7 linked regions of the Oryzias latipes genome follow. The protein of the gene in region 3 interacts with the protein of the main gene of each other region in a pairwise test. Links are inferred from orthologs where the notes say so. Each region holds a gene or a part of one and is shown on either strand. Other genes may lie near its edges.

Region 1 (4,027 bases), on a different chromosome or scaffold from region 3:
CATCACATCCTTTCTTTCTGCCTCCCTGTCTTCTCATTAGGAATCCCTTTGGCTTTTATACCTAGCACGTTGTCGAGTCTTACCAAGAAAACCTCTGGGATCTATTAAGAGCTTGCCTTTCTTGTTTCTGTCTTCCACCCACTATTAAAAAGACCCACTGTGTTCTTTATTCAAAGGAAACTAAAAGCACACCCAACAGCTGCCTGTTCTGTCGGTCTCTGCAGCCATTAGGCTCACACCATACTGACAGTAACTGAGTTTGTTTCCCTGAAGGAAATAGTGTTGGTGGGAATAGGGGGGGATTAGCACCAACAAACCGAAAGGAACTTACAGACAATGTTATCTTGAAAAAGGTTTTGGAAAATTCCCAATGTTTGACTTCTTCCTGATAGATCAAAATGATGCAGGAACCTTGAGATTTGCAGAAAAAGAAAGATAAAAATGAAAATGTCATTCTGGACATTTAATTTAAACAAAAGGTTTTCACATCAGGATAGTTTACTGCAGTAACACTAAATAAATTGGGAGACGTTAACCAAGACTGTTGTAAATCCATATTTTGTGGTTTATTGTGTATAATGTGAATAATGAAGGATGGCATTGTATTCTGCTCAATGATAAATCGCCCCTGAATCTATAACAAGTGAATGCATTTTATCTTGTTGTCCACCAATAAGCATGATGCTGCATTTTTACGCTGCAAAGATGGATGGGAGAGCTCTGTGACAGTGGATCACAGAAAGAGCTTTCTTGTGCTGCCTGTTTCTTTCTATATGCTCTGTGCTGATGTGGGAAACATGATTGACTGCTCTGATTGGTATCTGTTGTGGATGATGTGAAAAGTTGAAGTTTCAGAGGTGATCTTGAAACGAGATTCTCTAACTTTATCAGGGAAATGCTGCAAATTTTCTCAGCAACTATTGAATATCCACACTGGAATGTGATGTTAATTAGGGCTAAGTGACATTCAAGTGTGCTAATGAAAAACTCAAAGAAGAAAAAAGGGGGCATTTTAGTTTGCACATATTTTATTGGAATTTTGGCTGTGTGAGTCAACACTGACTGAAAAAGTATTCTGTGTAACAGATGATCTACACCCCAGCAAGTGGCAAAGGCCATACTGTGAGGTGTTTCATCAACACATTTCAACAGTAGTGCTTAAGGGGCTGGAAAATCAGAGCACAGCAACCCTCAGAACCGTTAGAATATGAACACAGCACAGTTCTTCCATAAATACATAAACAAAATGGTAAAACTTGTCTGCTTTTCTTGATTAAGAAATGTAAACTAAACTAATCTGCCTAGTAAAATCACATGATCAATTCAACAAAATATATGGTAAAGTACAGGAAAAAAGTGTATTTAGTTTCTGCAATGTTTTTTTTCTAGCAAAATGTAATTATATTTGTGTCACATTTCTTTATCCCAACGCTTTGTGTGGACTTTGATTATTGGAAGCTTCATGTCCATTCCAGAAATGCCAAAGTTACTAACTTTCAAATTAGTATCTGTGCGTGCTTTGGGCTAGTGTGCTTCCTCTTGAAGTATTATATTCTTTGAATATAAATGAACACATGCACAATGAGGATCTTTGGCGGAACATTATTGTATTCTGCTGTACATTTTTCTAAAAAATACAGACAGCAGATATTCAGTTGAATAATCTGCAGTTCTTTCTGGTGCACTTTTGTTAGTTCACATACATCCAAAATTAACAATTAAAGAGATACCCTGCAGTAATTGTGTGTGTTGGCGTATTATTTTATGAACTTTTAAAGAAAGGTTTATAAGAAAAACAGTTGTCTTTACACCAAAACCATGAAAAAATAGTCTAAAAAAGAGACATGGACTGCAACGAATCAATACAACAACAAAATTCTATACGAATAAATAAAAAAAAACAACATAAGAAACAGCAATTCAAACATATAAAAAAGGCTTGTATATTGTGATTGAACATGATTTATCTTGTATATTTGAACGTTTTATTTCTTTCTATTGTAAACGTGCATCTAAAAAATATTTGCAAACGATTCTTACAAGAAAAGCAGCCACTATGTTTTCACTGAGAGCTTGATCCATCCCGTCACTCTGCTAAAGTGTTGCACTTTTGCCTGCAGCACCTAGAAGCTCTTTCACTGAACATGCTGGCTTTTTTTCTCAACTTCAGTCATGCATTTTTCTCCTTTTAACCTCAACTTTCTTTGCTCAGAAAATCTGTCGAGTTCTGGACTGAAGCTAAAAAAGTGCAGTTGAGGGCAATTACTCCAAGAAGCACAAAAGGACAAAGAAATATGTGTCAAAATCTCCACAAACCTCTCTGTACTGGACTGAATTGAAGATGCTTTGAGACTAACAGAACGGGGACTGGTGCCCAGCAATCTGCAGCGTATGCAGCAGATTGTAGACAAAAAGAAAGAAAGAAAAACCTGACTTACCTTCTGCCAGTAAACGCACCGCGTGCACAAAAGAGGGATCCAGGCTGTTTTTCTCTGCCACCAGTTCAGGTAAACACTTATCTGGATGCATTCTGATCACAGCTCTTCAGCAGCGGAGCAGGTGTGTGATCACTGGAGTGCTGAACGTCGGAGTGCAGCTGTACCTTCTTCCCCTCTTGCCTAACAGTGGCTGCAGTTGCTTTTATTGAATAACAACAGAGGGGAAACGCCCAGAAAAAAACCACACACCTCAAAACGTCCAAAATACCTGACCAGAGGCTGAGCAGTGACTCAGAGGTGTGAGCCCATCCCGGCTGCAGCTGCCTCTTGTCGGCAACCCGCCAGACTCCCGGGCATCGCTGCGCGCGTCCCCGCCCCTTTCACACGATTGGCCACGTTGAAGAATCAGTGCTGATGAAAAGCTGAGGAGTTCCCTACTGAGGGTAATGCAACACACAAGTTCGTCTTATTAGCACCACCAGCCTGAGAGTTCAGCACGTCCAAGAGGAAAATGTGGTTTTAATCTGAAATAAATGAACCAAGTAACAAATACAGAGTGAGTGCATCCAAAATGAACTTGTCAATTCGATTATTTAAGATTAAAGTGAAAACTTGCAGTTTAATTAATGTCACGCAACAACTAACCTCTTACAACACTCGGCTGTGTCCAGACAAGCCAGACTGTCCGCTGGTGTCAATAATCCACATCAGGGTGATCCGCAGAGCCGCGGCTCTGTTTGTGTCGCTGTCCATGGTGCTGATCTGATTTGAGACTCACAGAAGCTCGTTTTTTCTCATTAGGTTTTGCCTTCCAGAGTTCAAAGTTCTCGGAGATAGGAAGAGTTTCTTTATTTAATTGATTTATCTTCTATTGTTCTTCCTTGTTGACATTTTGTTTCACTGCAGATTTTCACTTCAAATAAATAAATAAACATCCATCTTTTCATCTGTCTTCTAATCCAGTTTTATCCATTTCAGTATCAAGGGCTGCTCGAGCCTATCCTGGCCACTATTGGGCGAAGGCAGGGTTCACCCTCGACAGGTCGCCAGTCTGACGCACATTCACACACCCATGCACACTTGCATTCACACTTAAGGACAATTTAGACCTATGAAGCATGTTTTTTGACAGTGGGAGGAAGCCGGAGTCCCTGGAGAAAACCCAGGCATGCATGGGGATAGCTTGCAAACTTCTCACAGAATGGTCCTCCATTTGTGATTCTGTTTCAGGTCCCCCAGCCGGGACTTGACCCTTCTTGCTGTGAGGCAAGAGTACTAAAATAAAGGGGGGAAAAAACAGACAAAGTTATCAAAGAATCAATTGTCTGTTATGATGCTGCATTTTGGATAAGGCAATTTTCAGCTTCTTCTTACTATTATACATCATCTCAAAAAACTAAGCAAAAATCAAGCAAACACTGTGACATGTTTAAAAAATACGAGAGGACTTGAGTCGCATTTGTGTTTCATGAAGAGACTTGAGCCTTGAATTGAGACCTAAGGTTTGGGTCCTGATAGCAAAGTTTATTTGTTTATTCTTTTTTTGGCAACATAATCTCTCAGTCAGGTGTAAAAATCAAAGCTTTCTT
Region 2 (3,500 bases), on a different chromosome or scaffold from region 3:
AAATCGATAAAATGTTCAAATGTTGGACCGAGTTTCCATTTTCAAATCTTTAGTCTTATGTTCTGCAGTTTATCAGGACCTGAACACAATAGAGAGAAAATAGACACACTTGATGTTTGTGTGTGCGTAACTCTGGATTTGCAGCTCATATAGTACATGTTGTGCATATTTGTGCAATTGATTATTGACACACTCAAATATCAACAATGTACAAATACGAAATACAATTTACGCGCAACTAGAAAAGAACAGCCCCTTCAAACTAACCGGGAATTCAAAAAACGGCTCCTAGGCGTACAAATCTACGCACCCATCGCATCAGACACGCCGACAAAAGCAGGGAGCCACCAGTGCTGGAGGCCTTCAGATGTGTGCCTAGATGATGTGTTCAAATGCTGCTAGAATGCTGGGTCATCAGAGTTTTCTGATCTGCTGTTTGAACTTAGATTGTGGAAAAGCCGTTTGAAAGTTTGAAGTTGGCGTCATTTCACCTTGTGTGTGTGTAAATTGTATTTCCTATTCGACTGTACATGTGAATACACAAGAGCAAGTACACACTGGTACACATCGATGGTATTGCATGTGGTACACACACAAATGTGCAGTGAGACTAGTGTGTCTCCATAGTGCATGAGGGGATAGTGATACTTGCTACTTGCGGTCATCACTGTGGTCTTTCATGCACACCCAGCAGCCAATCAGAATGGCGTATTCAGCCGGACCGTGGTGTAAGTGTTTTTAACAGACGTTTGAGAGTCACACCACCAGGAAAGGGGAGCGCTGACAGTACAAAAACTGGTCAAGGAAACGGATGAAGACGGTGTTTTCACCCTCTCTCCCGTCATGGCGAACGGAGCGTTGAACCACTGCTCGAAGGTGCTGCAGCTCTTGAAGATGGTGGGCAGCAGGAAGTTGAGCAGAGCCCACAGCTCGGGCAGCTTGTTCTGCAGCGGCGTGCCGGTGAGGAGGAGGCGGCGGGGGGCCACGTAGTGGGTGTTCAGCACCTGAGTCAGCTTACAGTGATGGTTCTTCATGCGGTGACCTTCATCCACGATCATGTACTTCCAACGGATCTGCAAAGGGAAAAAACGGTCGTTTCATCTAAAGGAAGGAATGTTTCACGTCCGTGTTTGGTTTTTGACCGTTTTGACACATTTATCCTTCAGACGTCAGTGCAGACTTTAGTTTTAGCGGTAAATGGAACCAGAAAAAACATCTTTTTGTGTTCACAGCATTACCATATAATTATAATAATAAATGGCTTAAACTATTACTGAGGATGGTTAAAGTGATTAAAGTGATAAATACTTCACTTCCCCCCAAAAAATGATTTTTTTCTAATGAAAAATAATCTGCACATCTTTTTAACTTTTGATACTTGATCTGCAAACACTATGAAGATTTCTGAAACAGTATTATGTCCATTTTTTCTGAAATAGTGTTATTTTTAATCATAGTCAGAATTTTTCTAATGAACATAAGTTGCATATATTTTAGATAACTGATCTGCATTTGCTTCTATGTTGATTTCTAAAATAGAGTTATGTCTATTTTAAGTCATTCATCTTTGTCATGTGATTTCTTGATACTTAAGGATTCTTAATGTATTCTTTGGTAAGGCATAGATGTCTGATAGACGTCATGAACCGGATAATGATAGTTAATGTAATCAAATGGTTACAGTGGAACAGGGTTGGATTCTAGAAGTTCACTTCCTTCCTCTCTCTTTAAGCAACATTTGATTGAACGTCTAATTATCCTACGTTTAATACGTCTTTGTATGAATGGACACCTGAATTTTATGCATTATTGTTGCTTTGATTGCTTGAAATAAACCACTTCAAATCAAATCAAATGTAACCCCTCCCTGTTTATGGTTAACCCTTCATTTTAAATTATGACCCCCCCCCCCCTTAAACACCTTTTATCCACTGCATTTTCTCAAGTTCTGGCTGTGGATCAAACATGTTTGTGCTGCAGCTCCAGAGCGGTTCCCCCTGCTGCTCATGTCTCTCCACATGACATCAGATTACATTAGAACTGTGTTTTCCCTCTAGCAGCACATCTCTGATGTGGATCTTTGTGAGAGCCCCCCAGCAGCCAACAGCTCCGTCCCGTCTGAGGGCCAATCCAAGCTCTTCTGAGAGAAAAGCTGCTTGTGATTTTCACGTCAAGGCCGTGTCTGACGGCCAGCACGTCGTGATCCCTGCGTGATAAACCCAACTCAAGTGTTTCTGCCGCTGTCATTCCTGGATGTGCAGATGTACATGGAGGGTTTTGAACGACGGGTCTTTATGCCAATTCGGTTTTGAGGTATCCAGAATTTTTGGAAACATAGTTTATACGACTCTGTCGATTCTTTTAAAAGTCTACTGAAGACATTTATTTAAAAATGCTTTTAGCTGACTGTTTTTTTGTTAATTCTATTCAAAGTTTATTTTCTTTCATTTAGTTTTACATTTAATTGATTGTTAATGTGTTTTTACTGTACTGTATGGTATTGTTTTATTGTTCAGCGCTTTGTGATTTTACCTGGGAAAGGCGCCATATAAATAAAACGTACTTACTAAAAAACATACTACATACAATTACTATGTAAATCTGTGTGACTTTTGCGAGATGCATGTGTTTCTTTCCACGTGTGTCTAACAGACTTTTCACGCATGAACCACCGATGTCTAACTTTTACATCGCGTATACGGCGCACACATCACGTCTAGATGACGTCATTGACGGACGTATTTTTACGCTTACGTGTTCTTTGCGTGGTGTATTTGTACATCTTCCGTGTTTTTAACCTGATTCATTCGTGACACTTCTGTGAAAATTACACTGAAACCTTTCCCCCCTTTTTTTCCACGTCTATTCACCTGTGACCAATTTACATCGGAGCAATATGCGCCAAACGTGCATGATGGCTGCGTGACATTCTTCAGATGAGTGACATCAAGGCTTCACTCATGTGAAGAATGATATGCTTCCATTTTGGGTCAGTAAACTGTAAAACCTGTTGACTGATATTTATTCAAACATCTCAAATCAAAGCGGTGGATTTAAAAGCCGCTGGACTTCCTGAAACTTTCAGAAAACTGAAACATCCCAAAGCTGTTGGTGTACAGAATATAACTTTGATCTCCTTCACCTTGGCCAGGATGTGCTTGTCCTTAATGATGTATTCATAGGTGGTCAGCAGGACGTTAAACTTCCCGCTGCGAAGCTGAGGAACGAGCCCCCGGCGCAGAGCGGGAGTTCCCTGGAATGAGGAGGGGGCTGGAGTCAGTGAAAAGCACGGCGTCAGAGCCTCGGCTGCAAAAATCTTTTTTTTACCTTGTAAGCAATTTTGACGACAGAAGGAGCCCATTTGTCGAGTTCATAGACCCAGTTTGACAAAGTCCTGGAACCAGAACCAACACAAATCATTAGACAGTGGGGAGGGGGGGGGGGGGGGTCACCCGGGATTAAAAGCAGTTTCTGAAATGTGAAAAGGAAAGTTTAAGAAT
Region 3 (3,500 bases):
TGCGCTGAGACGCTGTCACTTTAACCCAATGCATCATGGGAGATCTAGTGCAAACAGCTGCCGAATGCAGACAGACTAGCGTCTCTGAGCTTCATTGTTTTGTTCACTTGTTCCACGGTCTGATACCGGATCCTGCGGAAAGATACACCGCTAAAGACGAGCTTTAGCTGATATTTTTGTTAGAACTGAGCGATTTTATGAGCTGAATCAGAACAAGGAAGTGAAGACTTTAGGCCTCCAAGAATGATTGGTGGAGACAGTTAAAGGGGTGGGAATTTTCCGAAAACGTCTGAAACTACGGCTAGATTCTTATCAAAATGTCTTTAATAGAATCAAATAAACACAAAGAAAAAAGTGTTTTACAATCTTTCATATTCCTAACTACTCATTGTTTTATCAGGACCTGTTTGGATGAACAAAGAGCTGATATCCTGGAGACGGAAAATGTTTTTAGATCAGTTATTGAGGGCAATTTCCCACGGCACACTGGTTGAAAAACACTGCTGTAGATAAACAAACAAGAGGTTTCCAAACATTTGTCCCTTAAGCTTTAGATTTAAACCAAATCTCCAATCCCGTCCATATTTATGTTAACATCCTCTTTTCCCTTTCAGGTCACGTTTAAAACCTAGTCCCTTCCTTATGCCAACCCCCCCAACACCATATCCCCACTGCATTACTGCCTGAGCCAGTCACCATGGTGAGGAAACACAAAGAACCAAAAGCACTCAGGACTTTGCATCCAAATAGGGAAGAGAAAGTAAATGAAAGGAACAATAAGAGGGAAGATAATCAAAATGTTGTCCTTTGCAAAGCCTGGAGGTTGTCTGTTCGTATTTTCCATTTTATAGAATCATTAAGAGGCTTCCTGCAGACATCACTCCACATGTAAGACAACTCTACTCTGGAAGTGAAGCCTCTTGTTTTTCTAAACAACTTTAGCTCCGATCTTCAACACCAATCAGCTCCTTTAACAGACTTCATCCTCTGCAAAACTTTGTCCATACATTACCAGTTTACACTGCAGCTCAACAGAAGGGAAAGGGTCAATCTGGAAAGTGGTTCTGGAGTTCGAACCGGTCCCACTCACCGGATGCTGGCATGGCAACAGCAGCAAGCTCAGGCTGGGAGCTTCCCTCAGTGATGGCAGGCATGGGGGCAGCAGTCTGAGCGAACTGGACCTGAGCCTGAAAACAGCAAACACTTCAGTCAGCTCTGTTTAAATGCAATTTCAGATAAACATATATGGTCAGGACTTTCTGCGTTACTGAACCGTTTGCGCTTAGAGACATATATTCCATCGCCGACTGAAAAAATGTTGGTTAATCTGACCACATCCGAGGCCCATCAACCAGGTTACCACAGTGTGAAAACAGAATTTAGACCTCATGAAAAACCACGACAGTGGTCACTTTCCTTATTGTGTTTGGGATCATTGTTGAAAATCAATGCATTATAAGAGTTTTAGAGTTGATTCAAAATTTTGTCTGCATCACATAAACTATAAAAACTTCCTATAACCCAAAGTTAAAGTCACGTCACTGACACAAAGTTCCTCTTACCTTGATGACCTTGTCGACCTTGAGGTCCTCGAGGGATGGATACAGAGACATGCTGAGGAGAAAACACAAACATCTGGGAGTGAAGGTCAGGATCATGAAAAGCCTTTTTGTTTGATTTTTTTAACTTAGGTTGAAACATTTTTCATTTCGTGTATTAATGTTCAGTTCTATTTCCTGCATTTAGTTTTTATTAAATTTAACCTTTTTTGTTTTTTACATGCATGGTCTAATTTTTATGACTATGAGGGATTCAGTGGGTTCAGAAAAAGGAATATATAGTTAAAATTTGGATTACCATTTTTCTATTTTCATTGAATATTTAAAAGGAAATGTAATCTATATTCTTAGTTTTTTTGTTTTCTAGCAATATTTATACTTTCATCTCTATTTCTTTTTTTAAACGCTTCCTCATTCTGTTGTGATTTGATTGATTGATTGATTGATTGATTGATTGATTGGACAAATAGATGGATGTGTTTTAATTCTATAGATTTTTATTCTTTTTATATTGTGTGTGTTTTATATTTTATTGTACTTGGGTTATTTCCAAGGGTTTATTGTCATATGCACAGTGTGAAGCACTTTATGTTTACATGAAAAGTGTAACGTAAACATAAAAACAGTAGAATTACTTCCAGCTGACCTCAAATTCACGCCTGTGTTCACAATTCCTTTGGGTCACTGAACTGATGCTCTGGTACCAAAGTGCTTTGACCACAGCGGCAGAATCCATCACATAAACATCTTCAGTGGAGGAAAACTAACGATATTTTCAAGGTTTTGCATCACATCCGAGAAGGCCTCATATGCAGAGTCATGCTAAAATGGATTTATACAACGGCTTTGTTGTTTGTTAACTTTCTGTATGGTTTATTTTTACATGTATTCATTTAACAAAAGACTTTATTTCAAAGCAACTTGCATGTGAGATGCAAAACAAGCAAACACTGGGTCAATCGCACACTACTAGACACACTTCTAGTTCAGCTCAGAGAAAAATGTCCCGTTCTGTTTTTTTAGGCACAGGAAGCTGCGGAAGAGGTCACTCCAGACCATTTTTTTTTAAAAATAGGGAGTGAAGCAGCTGTGGGTGTAGAGTTGGAAAACTCACTGCACCTTTGTGGGTCGCAGAGCTGAAGAGTTTGAAACAGTTTCCTCGAAGCAGAGATATTTATTTGGATTTATAAATACCACATGAAGACATATATGTCCTAAACAAAGGAGTCTTTTTGGAGCTTAGCACCACAAACTTTAAGATCCGGACTGATCAGCTGCCATCAGAAGGAAGCTTTAAAAACGATCACATCCACGTCTACAGCTCATGTTTTCATCGTCCACACTCCATGAATAAATGGGTTTAATCTGCACTTATTCTCATAACATGGGAATGTGTTAAGGTCAAATGACAACAGGACGCAAACAGGCTTTGAGATTACGAAAACACAGAAATACCAAATTTGAAACAGTTTTTTTTTTAAACATTTCCACCCCCCAAAATGTGGAATCAGGAAATGAGTCAGCTGACTGAGGTTTCAAAACAACGCAGCAGCTCAGAAACCATCTGTAGTATGATGGCAGGCAGCTAATGAGCAAAGTATGTCTGAGAGTGGAATTTGACTATGCATGTTTAATTGATACCATTACTTTTATACACTAAACAACTCACATTCCACAAAGAGCCTTTGTGTTGAAAAGACTCGGACGCAAATCCTAAGCCTGCAAAGAAACAGCTGATCTCACCCTTGCCAGTTCTTCTTTTCACTTTTTTTTATGTTTGATAGAAAAAACTAAACTTACAAAGTAGGAATTACCTAAAATCATTTAGATTCCATTAGATCAAATTTCCTACATCACAATTAAGCCTTTTCTCAAATGGCGTTTTATCGTCCAGCTCCTGATTCACAGTCATTTGAATAAAGAAATACTCAGAAATTAATT
Region 4 (4,158 bases), on a different chromosome or scaffold from region 3:
ACCTCCAGCTCGGTCTGATGGTCGTCAGCGATCCTCAGAAACGTCTGAGTGGGCAGAACAGCCCCGTCACTCAAACCCTTATTTTACTGCGAATCCAGCTCGTACACACACCCAAAAACAGAAATGTTTTAATAGATTTTTATTGTAAAGAACACATTTTGTTAAGTTTCTGGTTTAGGCTGCAGTGTTGAAATGTCCAGATTCCATCCGTTAACTTTGATTCTGGGCTCTTAGGATCTGTGGTCACTTGATCTCATTCAGACAACAGATCCTCCAGTTTACTGATCTGACGTTTCACCATGTGACCGACCTGATTTCTATAGAGATCAGCCAATTGTTCCAAGACTTCAGAATTCATAGAAATGCTGCTTGTACCAAAGGAAAGTGGGGTTTGGTGCTAAACCAGAGATGAGAAATGCTTCTTCTGCAACGATTTGGTGAAGTTTGGCTTGAAAAACGTTCAGGACGATAAACTCAAGGTTTCTCTTCACCCCATTGTATGTTTAAGACTTTTCTTCTGCAGTTGTAATACTCAGTTGTTTGTGGTTGAACGCTTTTCTGTTCTTGTTTTTAATCAGGTGTAAGAACATGGAGGTGCCTATAGAAAAAATCTACAACAAAACCCAACGGGAAAAGTTCGCCTGGGCCATCGACATGACGGAGGACGACTTCGAGTTCTGAAACTGAACTTCCACAGACGTATAAACTCACACCAAGTGGCAGCTCAGGGACCTTTTGCTTTATCCCATGTAGAGTAAATGAATATTGTATTGAGGGGATGTTTATGAAGTGCTGAGGTTCTACTACTGCAGTTCAATAATCAAGCTGCACTTTAATGGATGTTTACTGCTACTTTTGGTTTGAAGACGGTCTGTTACATTTTGTTTGCATACACTTGAATAAAGGTTCCTACCATGCGGTAAAATAAGGGATGTTTTAATCATTCAATTTGGCAAAATCTTAGTTATACACTCGTTAAGTGGCACATTTCCAATTCTGCTCATTTCACGTCAGAATCCAACAAATTCATGAACAACAAAGAGCATTGAACCTGCAGATCGGATGAATTCAGTAGTTATGAAAGGTCTGTGGCATCAGACGACTCTGCCTCATAAGAGAAAATGTAGAAACTCTTAGCACCGTGGTCTATTTATCAGCACCTGGTCAAAAAGGAGAAACTGCTCCGTACATCGCTTTAATAGAAAATCAGAAATGGAATGCATTCTGCATCTCGTTGCCAACAGTGCTGCGCTGCGAGCTCCGGGTGTTCGCGGTTCATCGTGTTGGGATGAGGTTCTGCTGGCCCGTTACCAAGCACGGACCGGAGAGAAGAACCGACGCTGGCGGCTCGAACGTCCAGGTCAGGGCACCAAATACACAATTCTGAAGGGCAGGTCACACTAATTCAGATTACTACTACTCCACTTCTCACATCATGACATAACTGTAAACCGTTAAACCATTTTATATATATATATATTTAAAAAAAGCATTTCACACCAAATCAGAAGTCATCGGTAAAGAACTTTGACTTCACATCATTTCTGACCCTGTGGGACAGACAGAAAATAAAGCTGATTAGGAAATCTACCAGAACAAAGAAATTCTACAGGGGTAGACCGTTTTTCTTCACCTTCATGATGATCCTTGGCTCTCCTTCGGCTTCTCTGGTGTCGCCTCGGCCTCCTCCACACCAGCCTGGGTCATCAGGTCAGCAATGTTTTTCTCCAGGTCATCGATTCGTGTGCTCATCTCATCAAGTGGACACTGTTAAGGCAAATCTTTTTTTTTTCTAAGCAAACTGGAGTCCTGTAGAAAAAGACACCGGGACATTTGATGTAGAGTATGAGAAATGTAAAGACGACCATCAGAGCTCTGGCTTTCAAAAAAGGATATTCCTCCCGATGATCTGGTCTGACATTGTCTGGAACTTGTCTTGCATTTGCTGCAGGAGCGTCTGGACCTTTAGAAAAACAAAAGAAGGCCACAAACTTTAATCTGTCAAACCCAACAAGAAACAGTACAAGATCAAGCTGTGAGCGGCCCAAAAGCGCTTCCCGCCCTCTCAGTCCCCTCCTCACATACCCCACTCTGGACATAGCTGCATGTGAGAGAAAAACCACTAAAAAGGAGCTAAGACCTTCATCTTCCAGTCAACACACTAATCAACACCTAATGTTTCAGAAGAATCGAATACAGTCTGTGATTTAGTAGGTAGAGGTGCAACTTAGACCTTTAGTTTTGGTTCATTTCCATGGCAACACTATTGGTATCCACACCAACAGAAGTAACCTGGGTGTTGCGAGAACTGCTGATTATTATTATTACAATAAAAATGTAAATTCATATACTTGTTATTGAAAATGCTGATTAAAGAAGATTTATGTAAATTAAATTAGTCAGGATGAAGTGCTAATCAGCTAACAATGTCTTTTATATGGTGATAAACTAATAAATATTTAGTGAGATCGATCAGAATTTAGGTGTCAAGTGGTAAAACAAAGGGGGAAAAGGCAAAAAGGAATCAAACTTAATACTCCTTTAGATGCAACCTGCATTTGATTTGTTAGCAGTATAGTTAGCATTGCTAGCTACATCCATATAGCTAGTCCTAGCTAGCTTGACGGTCCAAACTCACCACGTTAGTAAGGTCCTGCACTGATTTGGGATCTGTTTCAGCCATGGTGTGAATAAAACTGTATGTCCGGACCTTCACGGCGGTTAAATTTAAGGCGCTTTATATTCGATTATTTAGCCTCAAGGTTCTGCTCGCCTGTACCACCCACGGGAGAGTCAGCTGTGCCACAACACGGCAAGTCTCGCGAGATTTGCTCATGGGCTGAGATCGGTGAATTTGCAGAACCCTTCGATACAAATAATGCTGTGGATTGACGACAAACATTAGGTTGTATGTATATTTATAAAATAATAACACATTTGAAAAATCAGTTGACGTTCTTATGTTTAGATGAAAAGAAAAACATGAAGCTGTAAGATTGAAGCGGAAATTCTAGACCTGTGTGTGTTTATGCGCAGCCGTGTGTGTGTGGGGATGCGCGCACACGTCTCTCCTCCTCCTCAGCGAGTTGGGATTTGAAAGTTGGAGCTGCGGGATAACTCGGCGGGTTTTCACGCCGAATTCACTGCGGGAGACGGCAAAGTTCTGTTGGACTGAAGGCGATCGGTGAGTAAAGCAGAAAACTGACGGTGCTGTTGTGCATCAGAAATGCGGCTGTTTGCGTAAAGTTCAGATTTACGCACGCGTGCAATAGGCTGAAACTTCACGGTTGCTTTAAACTCAGGCTTACCACGTGGTTTTTATGCATCATTCTTGAAGTTTTATTTTTTTTAACGAGACTGCAGCTGTATTGAGTTTGTCCCAAAGGAGCAGCAGCTCCGGCATGGATGTGTGTGGAAGTCCTGAGTGACATGAAGAAGCAGGCACTGCTGGCCCTACCCCGTGAAAATATGCTCCGCTTACATAACATTGAGTTTCCTCTTTTAAGAAGCTTCGGTACATTTCAGCTTCCATTGTTAGTGTTTACTTTCAACACATAAACAAAAGGAAATAGCAGAAGCCTCACAGTACTGAATAAATTGTGCAAAGGTTCCCTTAGAACGGGTTTTAACTTCCTCCAGGCTTGTGCCTAGTCTAACTGATTATAACCTGTAACTTTTTTTATCAGAAGCAAACAATTACTGAGCTTTATATGTAACTTAGACGTGACTTTTGCTCTTCAAACTCCTGCCATAATGCTGAGGTTTGGTGTTTAATGTCTTGCTGCTGTTCTTGTCTTTTCAAAATTAAGCGCTGCTTAAGTTACAGCAGTGGTGACGTCTTAGCTGAGTTTGGCACGATTTTCTGAATGAAATCTTTGTCAAGTTATACTTTAAAAAAATGTTCCCACCTCCTTTGTAACCTCCCTGTATTTTCTTGGCATGCGCACCTCATGCTTTTGTAGGCACAACACAAGGGAGAAAGTCCCTGGGTACGCTGTATGGAGCTAAAGCTTTAAGGGTGTTTTGAAAGCAGGCAGGTCATCTGTGTAACTCAACTATCGGTGTCCACAGCAGCTGCAGTGAAACTGTTAGTAAGACGAGATGCTGTCTGCAGTTTAAACTTATCTGCAGACTGGCAGACCCCTCCCTTAGAGAGCC
Region 5 (3,054 bases), on a different chromosome or scaffold from region 3:
TGTTTTCAATTACAATGTCAGACTTTGATGTAAAACAATAAAAAAAGCATAGATCCATCATAAACTTCTGCCATTTGCAGAGTAGATAAAACTTAACATTTAAGGATTATTTATCCTCCAATACCTCTCCCCCCATGCTTGACCTGCCACCCCTGCTCTCTCTGTCTAGAATCGGGCGTCTCTTTGATGGCACAGAACCAATAGTCCTGGACAGCCTGAAGCAGCACTACTTCATTGACAGGGATGGACACATGTTCCGTTACATCCTCAACTTCCTCAGGACGTCCAAGCTCCTCATTCCAGAGGACTTCAAAGTGAGTAGGAGAATCCCCAGAAACTGTGAAGTCTCCTCAGCAGTCAGCAGTCCTGTAACTCGTCTCTCACAATGAATGCTGAGGCCGTGGAATGCCTTTGGTCACTAGATGTCCTCAAGTTACCCAAAGCAGTTACCATGTCTGTGCACTATAAACTAATAACACGATACCAGGGTGTGCAATTACGGTTCCTACCTGCCATTGTTTCCCAGATGCTAAATTTAGATATATGACATTACTAAAAACATATATTTTTGATGCATCTATGCACAGTTTTTGGCCCCCATGTCTGTCCACGATGGTTTTTTACTGCATTAGCCATTCTCTATTATATTTTGTATGTGTCATTGAGTCAGTAATGACTTACCCTTGGAGAAAACAAACATCTGCATTATCTGATGGACTGTCCAGCACAACTCAATCAGTGGAAAGTATGCCAGTTAAAATAAGCGCAGGCTCAACTTGAAGCCATTTTTCACTTTGGTAGGTTTTGAGAGAAGTATAAGAAAATGGTAAAGTTGCTGGTCTGCAAATAAAAAAAAATGCTTTCAACTTAAATAAATCTCCTTTTCAATTTCACTTTTTTAGGTTTTACTAAATAGTGTTTTAATTCAAGCCTTTTTGTTTTAGGTTGGATAGTTTGACTTTTTAGCAGGGCGATATGAGGAAAACTTGCAATGTGCAATATTAATGATCAACGTTGTGATGACAATGTGACTTGGGATAGAAGAGCAAATAGCCAACCAAAAAACAACAAATACATAGTTTCCATTACAGCGCAACAGTTTTATTAAAACAAAAGTCAGCATCACTTAAATTATGCACCAAATGACCCTTGTCTACATAGGAGGTGGGTAACTAACATAAAAAGGCTTCTTTCGATTGATCCAATGTGTTAAGGGCTCTATGTGATTCGTTAAATACTTAAAGCTGCCAAGAGACTGTTTTAACATGTAAACATTTGACGTAACTATTTATTGCAATCATTAACGATAAGTGTGTGATTTATTGTGCAGGCCTACTTTTTAGTCCCAGTTGTATATTTTTTGAGGGGGCAACAGAAAGGTTAACATTTGACTTTTTAAATGTCACCTTTATATTCCAGTCACTTTGTCCACTGGTCTATGACAATTGATTACCCTGTCTTTCAGTTACCGGTAAATAAACTGGAGGAAGAAAAACTTTTTTCTAGAAAAAGGATGAATTAATAGTTACTAACACATTTGATATATTATACATCACTGAACATTTATTTCAAAGTGTTATTTGCGTTGTAAAACCATTTCTGAACCGTTTTCTCCAGGACTACAGCCTGTTGTACGAAGAGGCTCGATACTTCCAGCTGCAGCCCATGCTGGCTGAGCTGGAGCGCTGGCGTCAGGATCAGGAGCTGGGCCGGGTGTCCCGTCCTTGCGAGTGCTTGGTGGTGCGTGTTGCACCCGACCTGGGCGAGAGGATCACACTTAGCGGGGACAAGGCCCTCATTGAAGATGTTTTTCCAGAGATCGGAGATGTCATGTGTAACTCAGTGAATGCAGGCTGGAACCATGACTCCACACACGTCATCCGCTTCCCTCTGAATGGTTATTGCCATCTCAACTCAGTCCAGGTAATGGATGCACACGGCAGCTTTAATCTGAAAGTGTCCAGTTATGAACACAAGTATACAGTGTGTATTTTTACTCTCTTTTTATATGTTAAATGTATCCACAAAGTCGTTTGACAGGGTTGGTAATCTGTTCATCTTGCGTCTTTCATCTGCTGTTTTGTGATGGTCTTCAGAGATCTTGCGTCTGATTCCAGTCTTTTTATTTATTTATTTATTTTTTTTTTAAATGAACAAAAATCATCAGAAAAGCCCTGCAGGAGTAGAAGCTCTTTGATAAGTTCATCAAAGCAACACTTTAGCAAGGCATCAACGCACAAGTCGACCACACTTTTTACTTCTTCCCTGTGATCTGACTGCAATAGTAATTCAGACTCTGACATCAGAGTTGATGGATGGTCAGCCTCAGACGTTGGATTCTTTTTTTTTTTTTCATCCATGCGCGTAAACATTGTTTTATTCTCTTTTGTGGGCATTTATGATTGCAAAAATGTGTGCTAACATTTTTAGTTGTGGGTTTATGTTGCCCTGAATCCATTTTGGAAGATGACATGAATGTTAACTAAGGGGAAATTACCAGGTGGGTTATGAAAAAAGAAAAATTGTCCCATTTGCAAAATCACTTACATGCCTTTGAAACTATGTAATTGATTGTGCTTTTTCTCTCCTGTGTTGAGGATCCTGCAGATGACTCCTGCATTTATTGTCTGTCAGTCTTCTAAGTCTGAAGCGAAAACAGAGGTTCTCAGAGTCCTGAAAGATCAGAATTTTTAACAACTAGTTTAGCAGCCTATATATTGCAGTAGATCTTGTAAAGTTACGTTCACACTGCCTTCAGCAACTCATGTTCAAGCAACCACTTCCAATGAAAATTGGATGTAACACTTTGTGCATTTCGGGGTTCTGCATTCAAAGCTCTTGCATTCACTGAACGCAGGTTGGGTGATCTTTCACCAACCAGAGACTAGTATTTGGTAGTGACGTATGAATGGTGTCCCTATTAATTCATTAAATTGATCACGGAGGAGAAATTAATAATTGCGGTCTGTGCCCGGGTGAAATTATGACACCAAGTCTTTTATATGTCGGAATAGAGCTGTGAAAGAAAAAGCCTGGAGAAAGATTTGCGAGATT
Region 6 (4,026 bases), on a different chromosome or scaffold from region 3:
TATCATCTTTAGAACACAGGGAATTCATGAATGGTCGTCGCAAAATGCTCATATTGATGAGATTTTTACTTTGTGAAATCCATGATGTTATATTTGCTGTAAAACAAAAAAAAGCAGTGAGCATGGTGTACGAATTACTCTTAAAATCCAGGGCACTACATAGTCCCGCACTATATAGTTTTTAGTAGTTAGGTATTAGAGAGGGAATTGAGACATAGCCAGTGTTTCTTATCATTTATTATTGGTGATATCAAAGTGAACTTTTCAATAAAATCAGGCCAAATAGGAAAAATACTCATGCAAATAAAAATATTCCTAACTTATTGTGAGTCTTGTAAGTAATCAGAGATGAGTGCTTTTTGCAGTAGAAGAGGGGTATATGGGTGCAGACCAAGAGGTGCGTGTTCCTTGGAACTGGAACACACTGTTGAACTTTCTCTGTGTTGTGGGCCTAAGGGCCGTGTCACACAGCTACTATGTACATTTTACACATTTTCCATGTATTCAATTTCTGTCTTTCGTGATGAATGCGCGAAATACGTAATTCGCTAGTGTTTCCTGTCATGTGTCGCTGTGCGCAGATGTTCGTCGAGGATGTTGGGCGATTGGCCTTTACCTGAATTTGGTTTTATGCTGATCAGAATTTTTGGTTAGATGAAAATTAAGCAGGTTTTGTGTATTTTACGAGGCTTGTACACAATTCAAGCGTAAATCTTACGCAATTGTGCATAGTTTTTGTCTATGGACTTTTTACGTACGTACCACTGAAGTATAACTTTTATATTGCGTATAGAGCACACATATGACGTTCAAATTAAGTAAATTAATGCATGGATTTTGGGCCATATTTGCCTTTTTCGTTGATTTACATGTTCTTTGCATGATTTATTTGTACTTTTGTGGTTTCAAAGTGGTTCAATTCTGATTCTCACTCTTTCCACGTGTATTCACGTATGACCAATTTTCATCTGTACAATGTGCGCAAAATGTACGTAATGGCTGTGTGACACGGCCTTAACTCAAAGAAATTCTTAAACACCCCAGTGACCTGCTTCCAATTCACAACCGTTGTGCGGATCATGACTCTTTGTTAAGATAAACCGATATACATATATATGTTGGAAATGACTTTTGGGTTTCATGACGGTCACAGCCATATCATTATCCACCTGCTCCTGTGCTCCTCCCCCTCCTCCTCCTCATCAAAGCAGATTGCTGCTGTCAGGGGATTAACGGCGGTTATAACTTCCTCTTCCCTGCAGGCTGCCTTTCCCTGACCCATTTTGCGCTTTAGCAGCTCTTCGAGCACCATGGGCTTGCTGGACATTTTTTCTTCCATCAAAGAACGGGCCGAAAAGTTTCTCAATGAGAAGAACATGGTGACCGATTTTCTGGGAAAGGTAGAGGAAAAGACGGGGATCAAGAAGAAGTTCATTGCCGCGGGTACGTAACGTGACCCCTTGTTTTTACTCTGTTCAGTTCAAAACGAACTCCCCAACAGATATTTCTACGTTGATTCTTCTTGAATTTAGAAGACTTGCATTGGCTAGCTGCAAGCTGATGGAAAACGGATGGGGATTCAGTTAATCCTCATGTGAAAAAAAGCTACCAGGATGCAAAACCAACTGTTCATATTGATCAGGACCTCCTAAGTTGCATCTGTATTCCATTGACAAATGGTTTCAAATTGTGTTTTTGGACTGTTTGTCATGGTGCGGGGTGGCTCGAGAGCCGGTAGGACCCAGTAGCAGAGGCGGAGGCACGAGGATCAGAGTCTAATGGATTTAATAAACAAAAACCAAACACAAAGCGCTGCAGAGCAGGATTTCTGAACAAACAAAGCTTACTTGACGTGGCGAGGAACATGAAACGTGGAATGTGGCAAGAGACAGCATGACATGAAACACCATGACAAGACTAATGAACCAGTACAGGAGGAAGGCAAAGACATGACTTAAGTACAGACAGGGCAGACAAGACACAGGTGAACACGATCAGGGCAGATGGGGACCAAAGGAAGTAAAACTCAAGAAAACAGACAAGACAGGAGAACTTTCAAAATAAAACAGGAAACAGAAACAAACCAGACAGAACAAGAACAAGGACGAAAAACAAGACAACAAACTCAAATCATGACACTGTTGTCCCAACAGTTAACGCAACATTCCATTGGCAAAATATGCTAGGCCTCTTTAATGTTTTTGTTTTGGTTTGATCCTATGGGCTTAGGTAAGCAAAAAACATAAATAGACAGCAAACTGCTAATAGATTTAGTTGACTAGGATACAACAGTATCACAATGCGCTTTGTCCCCTCGGGCATGTACTATTTTGATAAAAATCCCACTGAATGTTTTTTCCGCCTCTTGTAAACAATATGTAAGTAACCAATGGCAGCTTTATTAATAAAGTTTTGAGCACATACATTTTTAAACATGTGAGACAGAGCATCTCCAGTACTATTCCAGAAGGGTTGTCGATGACATGGGTGACCCTGATCCATGTATTGAGGTATGCTGCCATGCAGGAGACTGTTCCAAATGCAATGGTAATTTTTTGTTCACCTTCATTAGGTATTGATCACAACTGCCCTCAAAGGTGGGCAGGTGAAAACTGGGCACACAAATGGTTCAGTATGGAGTTAGTATGTGCACCTTACCGATGACTAGGGCACTGAACGCCAGCATTACCTGTTCGTCATAAGTGTGTATACTGTAACTCAGATGTGATACACTTACCACATGCACAAAAATGGTACGTTCCATTTTCACACTGTCCCTTGAAGTGGCCATACAACCCTCAGAGGAGGTGAAAAATCTGCACTCCCCTGCTCCTATCTGCAACTCTCCACGGGCCCGGACAACCTAAAAACCTCCATCACCTTTACGGTTCAACCCCCTGTATGCGTGGGTACAGGGTTTTCTCTGTCTGCTCTCTTTCTTACCCACAATTCTTTATGTCATTATTGCAGTTGTAGCTATAAGGTTTGTTGCAGGCAGAATAAATTTCCTTTCATCCCAATTTGAAGATGTGCATATTTTTTCTTTAACAAAAAGCATAGATGGACGCAACCAATCTTGACTGATCTTGAACATTTGGAAGGGTTCCCAGTCCTTGAATGGGAGACTGCGTTGGACTCCCTGGTTCTAAAACTTGGGGAACCACATGGGACGGGGGCACTCTCCAGTGTTTCCATGTGCCAATCAGAAGTCTGGGTAATGCAGAGGAGGTCAAAAGGCTTCACCTTTCATTGGCTGGGTAGGCTCCATCTTTCCTGTGATCAGGATAACATTCAAAAGGGGCCCAAGTCCAAGAGGTTTGTTTTTCCAGGAAATGATTTTAATCGCATAGCTTAAAGGGAGGCTACACCAAATGATTAATACTTTACCCAGATTTGGCACCAGTTCATAGCTTACAAATGCTATAATATGAAGCACCTCACTTTTATAACTTCAGAGGAAATTAAGACTAAAGTCTCTGGACTTGGGCCCTTCTTGAATTAAACAGGGGCTCTGCCATATTGGATAACTAGTGCTGCCATCTATGGGATGAAGCAAAACCCATGCAAGAGAGGCCCAAGTCAAGGAATTTTGCACTAAACGCATTTTAAATGTCAAAGCATTGTCAATACATTACAACGGACTTGGAACTTTTTTGCACATAATCAGATAGCTTTTCCTTTGAAGTCTATAGAACATGTAATATCTGTATTTTGAAAAATTGTGGACTTGGGTCCCTTTCGAACTAACCGATTCAATTATCTTCAACCAATCATCCATCAATTTTCTAAACCCCTTTTTAAGGATTGGAAGCTTGGTTTTAAGTTCTTGCCTTTGTTATTTCTTGATATTTTATCAACAAAAGAAATAGACTTTAATTAAACATAAGTTGTGTCCTAAGATTCCACTGAGTCAGATCTCAACACATCTCGTGAGCGAGTAACAGCAGTGTATTGAGGGTGCAGTGGGTCAGTGACACAGTGAGCAGGACATGATGTCAGTGTGGTGCCTGGCGCTCACCGTCTCCC
Region 7 (2,328 bases), on a different chromosome or scaffold from region 3:
ACTCTGGTAACTGTTGTCTTTGTTGTTATTTTCTGTTTGAAAAACAGTCCCAAACCCGAGTTTTAGGTTTGAACTGCGGCGTTTGGATGACGACATCAATGTGCGCCGGCATGTGATGCATTCAGAAACCATAGGGAACATCATTGATACGATTCACACCATACAGACACAGACTTAAAATAGTTTATTTTAGAATATGAATAAGTTTGAGTTTTGCATTCTTACATCTACATAAATAATAAAAAAGTAATAAATAAAAGATAAAGACTGACATGTTTGGTAGTTCAAAATTCCTATTTCCCTCCAACCTCTTGAACACACATGTTCAAGTTACTCTTTATAATTGAATTTTAAGGTATTATCAAAAGTTAAATAGCATGAGCAAACTAAATGCTGTTGTCTTCAGCTGGAACACTTTAAATGACTTCCTTAAAATAACAAAGCACAACAAAAAATTGGATTTCCGTTATGTGCAGTCATTCCAAGCACTTCAATGAATGTTTCTTTGAAATAAATCTTTATTTTAAATAGCTGGGGGGGAAAAAAGAGACATGTGAATAAAACACTTTAATCATTCATACAGCTACATCTGCATATTGGAAATTAATTGCTTGCCTCAACAGTTGTTTCAAATGAATTTTTATCCTGAGAAATTTAATTTATTTACTAAACTTACTTCAGACATTAAAGTTATCAATACTGCAGATTGGAAAAAAACTAAATCAAAAAACACCATCCATACTCTCAGAAAAACACCAACACCCGTCCAGAATCACCCAACAAAACAGAGAAGAAAATTAAAATAAAGAGGATCATTATTTCTTAACATTTTCATTTGCGGCGCAGAAAAACGTCAAGAATCTAGAATCAGACTACGTGCATGATTTTACCTAATAATCTCACAGGTGACACCATTCAGGTAAACTATGAAGGAATTTAAAAGAAAAATAAATTATAATGAATTTCAACCAAACCAACAGAACTACATCATTTTTCATAGGTTTTGGAGTCTTTATAATGCTGCTTTAGCTCTTTGGGTCCATCAGGTGTTTCGGAGTGATACTGTGTTTACAACTGGATGTCTTTAAAATAGCAATCAAGTATTTTGACTACGATTCAAACCTTTACTCCAAGTATGATTAGTTAACAAAACAATTGTTGCTTTTTCAAAAACGGCCCCACACTTCGAGAGCTCAAAAACATTTCAAATCCCCCACCAACTCAAACACTTTTCAATCTCCCCTTAATTCGAGGTTGTTTAAAAAAAAAAAAAAAAAGACACACCCAGAGTGACAGAGAAACACATTCAACACTAAACCAGAAAAAAACCACAAGATCAAAAATGTCCACGTGGTATGGACCCCGCTGACGTGCCCATCTGCTTCTTCGCCACAGAGTCACTTCAACGCCGCAGCGGTTTTTTTGCTAGGACAAATCATGATGCGGTGGGAAAACTGTCCGCCGTTACAAGAGACTAAAAGCTTGCAAAGATGTTCTGGCATGCACAGAAACTTAGAAAATACTGTCACGTGGCAAGTTTATTGTGTCTTGGTGCATGTAATGGGATGCTGTAAAAGGTGAAAAATACTGGATCTCTGCAGTGCTTTTCCTAGTACAAGCCTGAAGTCCTTCGTTTTCCATCACGGAGATCAAAATTCACTTACAATTTAGGAAAAACAAATATGCAAAAGAGGCTGACTAATGTTTAAGAGAGTTTCCACCCCATTAAAGCCTACAGTGAGTGAAAAAGATTTGGTGAGCATTTAACTATCCTTCATGGTAAAGTCTGAGGTGGCCAAACTGAAGAAACTGCTAACGTATGTGCTGGTGCAAATCTTACCAGGTCCCACATTTTTACAGAGTCTTTTGTTTTAACCTCTGAGACGGGGAAAAAAACAGAGGCACGAGAAAAAAAGCTCTTATCCGTTTAGAGAAGGGAAGATTCCAGTCTTCCTTGGTGTTAAACCTAGAACATCTCGCTACCCCGGAAGGGAAAAAGGAGGAGCATAGCCGGACTGGGCGTTCAGTCAAAAAGCATGTCACAACTCCTCGTTTCCTGAATCGTCCTCGTCGTAGCAGCAGTCGCCATCCCCGCCCTCCATGGTGTCGTCATCATAGTAATCGTCGTAGAAGAGGTCCGAGCCCTCGTCGGGGGCTGGCGCACGTGTGCGGACGCAGTACTCCGCCAGCGTGGTGGGAACTTTCACACCATCGCGCTCAGCTTCAGCTTTGGTGGCCATCACCTGTTTCCTGGAAGAGACAACAGATTATTTTTCATTTGTGAGGACGCGGCAAACGCACAGAAAGCTAGGAAACACAGTGAAGGAC

Evidence for each region.
Region 1: the proteins of syntenin-1 (region 3) and khdrbs2 interact in binary tests that used the Homo sapiens proteins (3 or more experiments, as listed by UniProt). The two-hybrid records come from large-scale screens. The link is inferred for Oryzias latipes from reciprocal best matches to the Homo sapiens genes SDCBP and KHDRBS2.
Region 2: the proteins of syntenin-1 (region 3) and probable global transcription activator SNF2L2 interact in binary tests that used the Homo sapiens proteins (3 or more experiments, as listed by UniProt). The two-hybrid records come from large-scale screens. The link is inferred for Oryzias latipes from reciprocal best matches to the Homo sapiens genes SDCBP and SMARCA2.
Region 4: the proteins of syntenin-1 (region 3) and hsbp1 interact in binary tests that used the Homo sapiens proteins (3 or more experiments, as listed by UniProt). The two-hybrid records come from large-scale screens. The link is inferred for Oryzias latipes from reciprocal best matches to the Homo sapiens genes SDCBP and HSBP1.
Region 5: the proteins of syntenin-1 (region 3) and kctd1 interact in binary tests that used the Homo sapiens proteins (3 or more experiments, as listed by UniProt). The two-hybrid records come from large-scale screens. The link is inferred for Oryzias latipes from reciprocal best matches to the Homo sapiens genes SDCBP and KCTD1.
Region 6: the proteins of syntenin-1 (region 3) and receptor expression-enhancing protein 6 interact in binary tests that used the Homo sapiens proteins (3 or more experiments, as listed by UniProt). The two-hybrid records come from large-scale screens. The link is inferred for Oryzias latipes from reciprocal best matches to the Homo sapiens genes SDCBP and REEP6.
Region 7: the proteins of syntenin-1 (region 3) and ubiquitin-conjugating enzyme E2 R1 interact in binary tests that used the Homo sapiens proteins (3 or more experiments, as listed by UniProt). The two-hybrid records come from large-scale screens. The link is inferred for Oryzias latipes from reciprocal best matches to the Homo sapiens genes SDCBP and CDC34.

What each region holds. Positions count from the first base shown.
Region 1 is NC_019873.2:24,545,854-24,549,880, forward strand, and holds the start of khdrbs2 (KH domain-containing, RNA-binding, signal transduction-associated protein 2), read right to left. Parts: upstream 2,801-4,027; 5' UTR 2,530-2,800; coding exon 2,439-2,529; intron 1-2,438. UniProt on the Homo sapiens protein: RNA-binding protein that plays a role in the regulation of alternative splicing and influences mRNA splice site selection and exon inclusion. Binds both poly(A) and poly(U) homopolymers. Phosphorylation by PTK6 inhibits its RNA-binding ability.
Region 2 is NC_019867.2:1,033,582-1,037,081, forward strand, and holds part of probable global transcription activator SNF2L2, read right to left. Parts: intron 3,395-3,500; coding exon 3,328-3,394; intron 3,254-3,327; coding exon 3,143-3,253; intron 1,074-3,142; coding exon 831-1,073; intron 1-830. UniProt on the Homo sapiens protein: ATPase involved in transcriptional activation and repression of select genes by chromatin remodeling (alteration of DNA-nucleosome topology).
Region 3 is NC_019865.2:5,713,278-5,716,777, forward strand, and holds part of syntenin-1, read right to left. Parts: intron 1,615-3,500; 5' UTR 1,614-1,614; coding exon 1,563-1,613; intron 1,188-1,562; coding exon 1,091-1,187; intron 1-1,090. UniProt on the Homo sapiens protein: Multifunctional adapter protein involved in diverse array of functions including trafficking of transmembrane proteins, neuro and immunomodulation, exosome biogenesis, and tumorigenesis.
Region 4 is NC_019864.2:28,979,185-28,983,342, forward strand, and holds hsbp1 (heat shock factor-binding protein 1), read right to left. Parts: upstream 2,801-4,158; 5' UTR 2,684-2,800; coding exon 2,639-2,683; intron 1,964-2,638; coding exon 1,897-1,963; intron 1,761-1,896; coding exon 1,636-1,760; 3' UTR 1,634-1,635; intron 1,551-1,633; 3' UTR 682-1,550; coding exon of another isoform or gene 579-681; 3' UTR 125-578; downstream 1-124. Other genes in the region: DNA topoisomerase I, mitochondrial, read left to right, coding at 579-681. UniProt on the Homo sapiens protein: Negative regulator of the heat shock response. Negatively affects HSF1 DNA-binding activity. May have a role in the suppression of the activation of the stress response during the aging process.
Region 5 is NC_019875.2:25,797,271-25,800,324, reverse strand, and holds part of kctd1 (BTB/POZ domain-containing protein KCTD1), read left to right. Parts: intron 1-169; coding exon 170-314; intron 315-1,617; coding exon 1,618-1,923; intron 1,924-3,054. UniProt on the Homo sapiens protein: May repress the transcriptional activity of AP-2 family members, including TFAP2A, TFAP2B and TFAP2C to various extent.
Region 6 is NC_019862.2:22,294,565-22,298,590, forward strand, and holds the start of receptor expression-enhancing protein 6, read left to right. Parts: upstream 1-1,226; 5' UTR 1,227-1,310; coding exon 1,311-1,443; intron 1,444-4,002; exon of another isoform or gene 4,003-4,026. UniProt on the Homo sapiens protein: Required for correct function and survival of retinal photoreceptors. Required for retinal development.
Region 7 is NC_019875.2:22,337,205-22,339,532, reverse strand, and holds the end of ubiquitin-conjugating enzyme E2 R1, read right to left. Parts: intron 2,251-2,328; coding exon 2,040-2,250; 3' UTR 501-2,039; downstream 1-500. UniProt on the Homo sapiens protein: E2 ubiquitin-conjugating enzyme that accepts ubiquitin from an E1 ubiquitin-activating protein, and catalyzes its covalent attachment to other proteins by an E3 ubiquitin-protein ligase complex. In vitro catalyzes 'Lys-48'-linked polyubiquitination.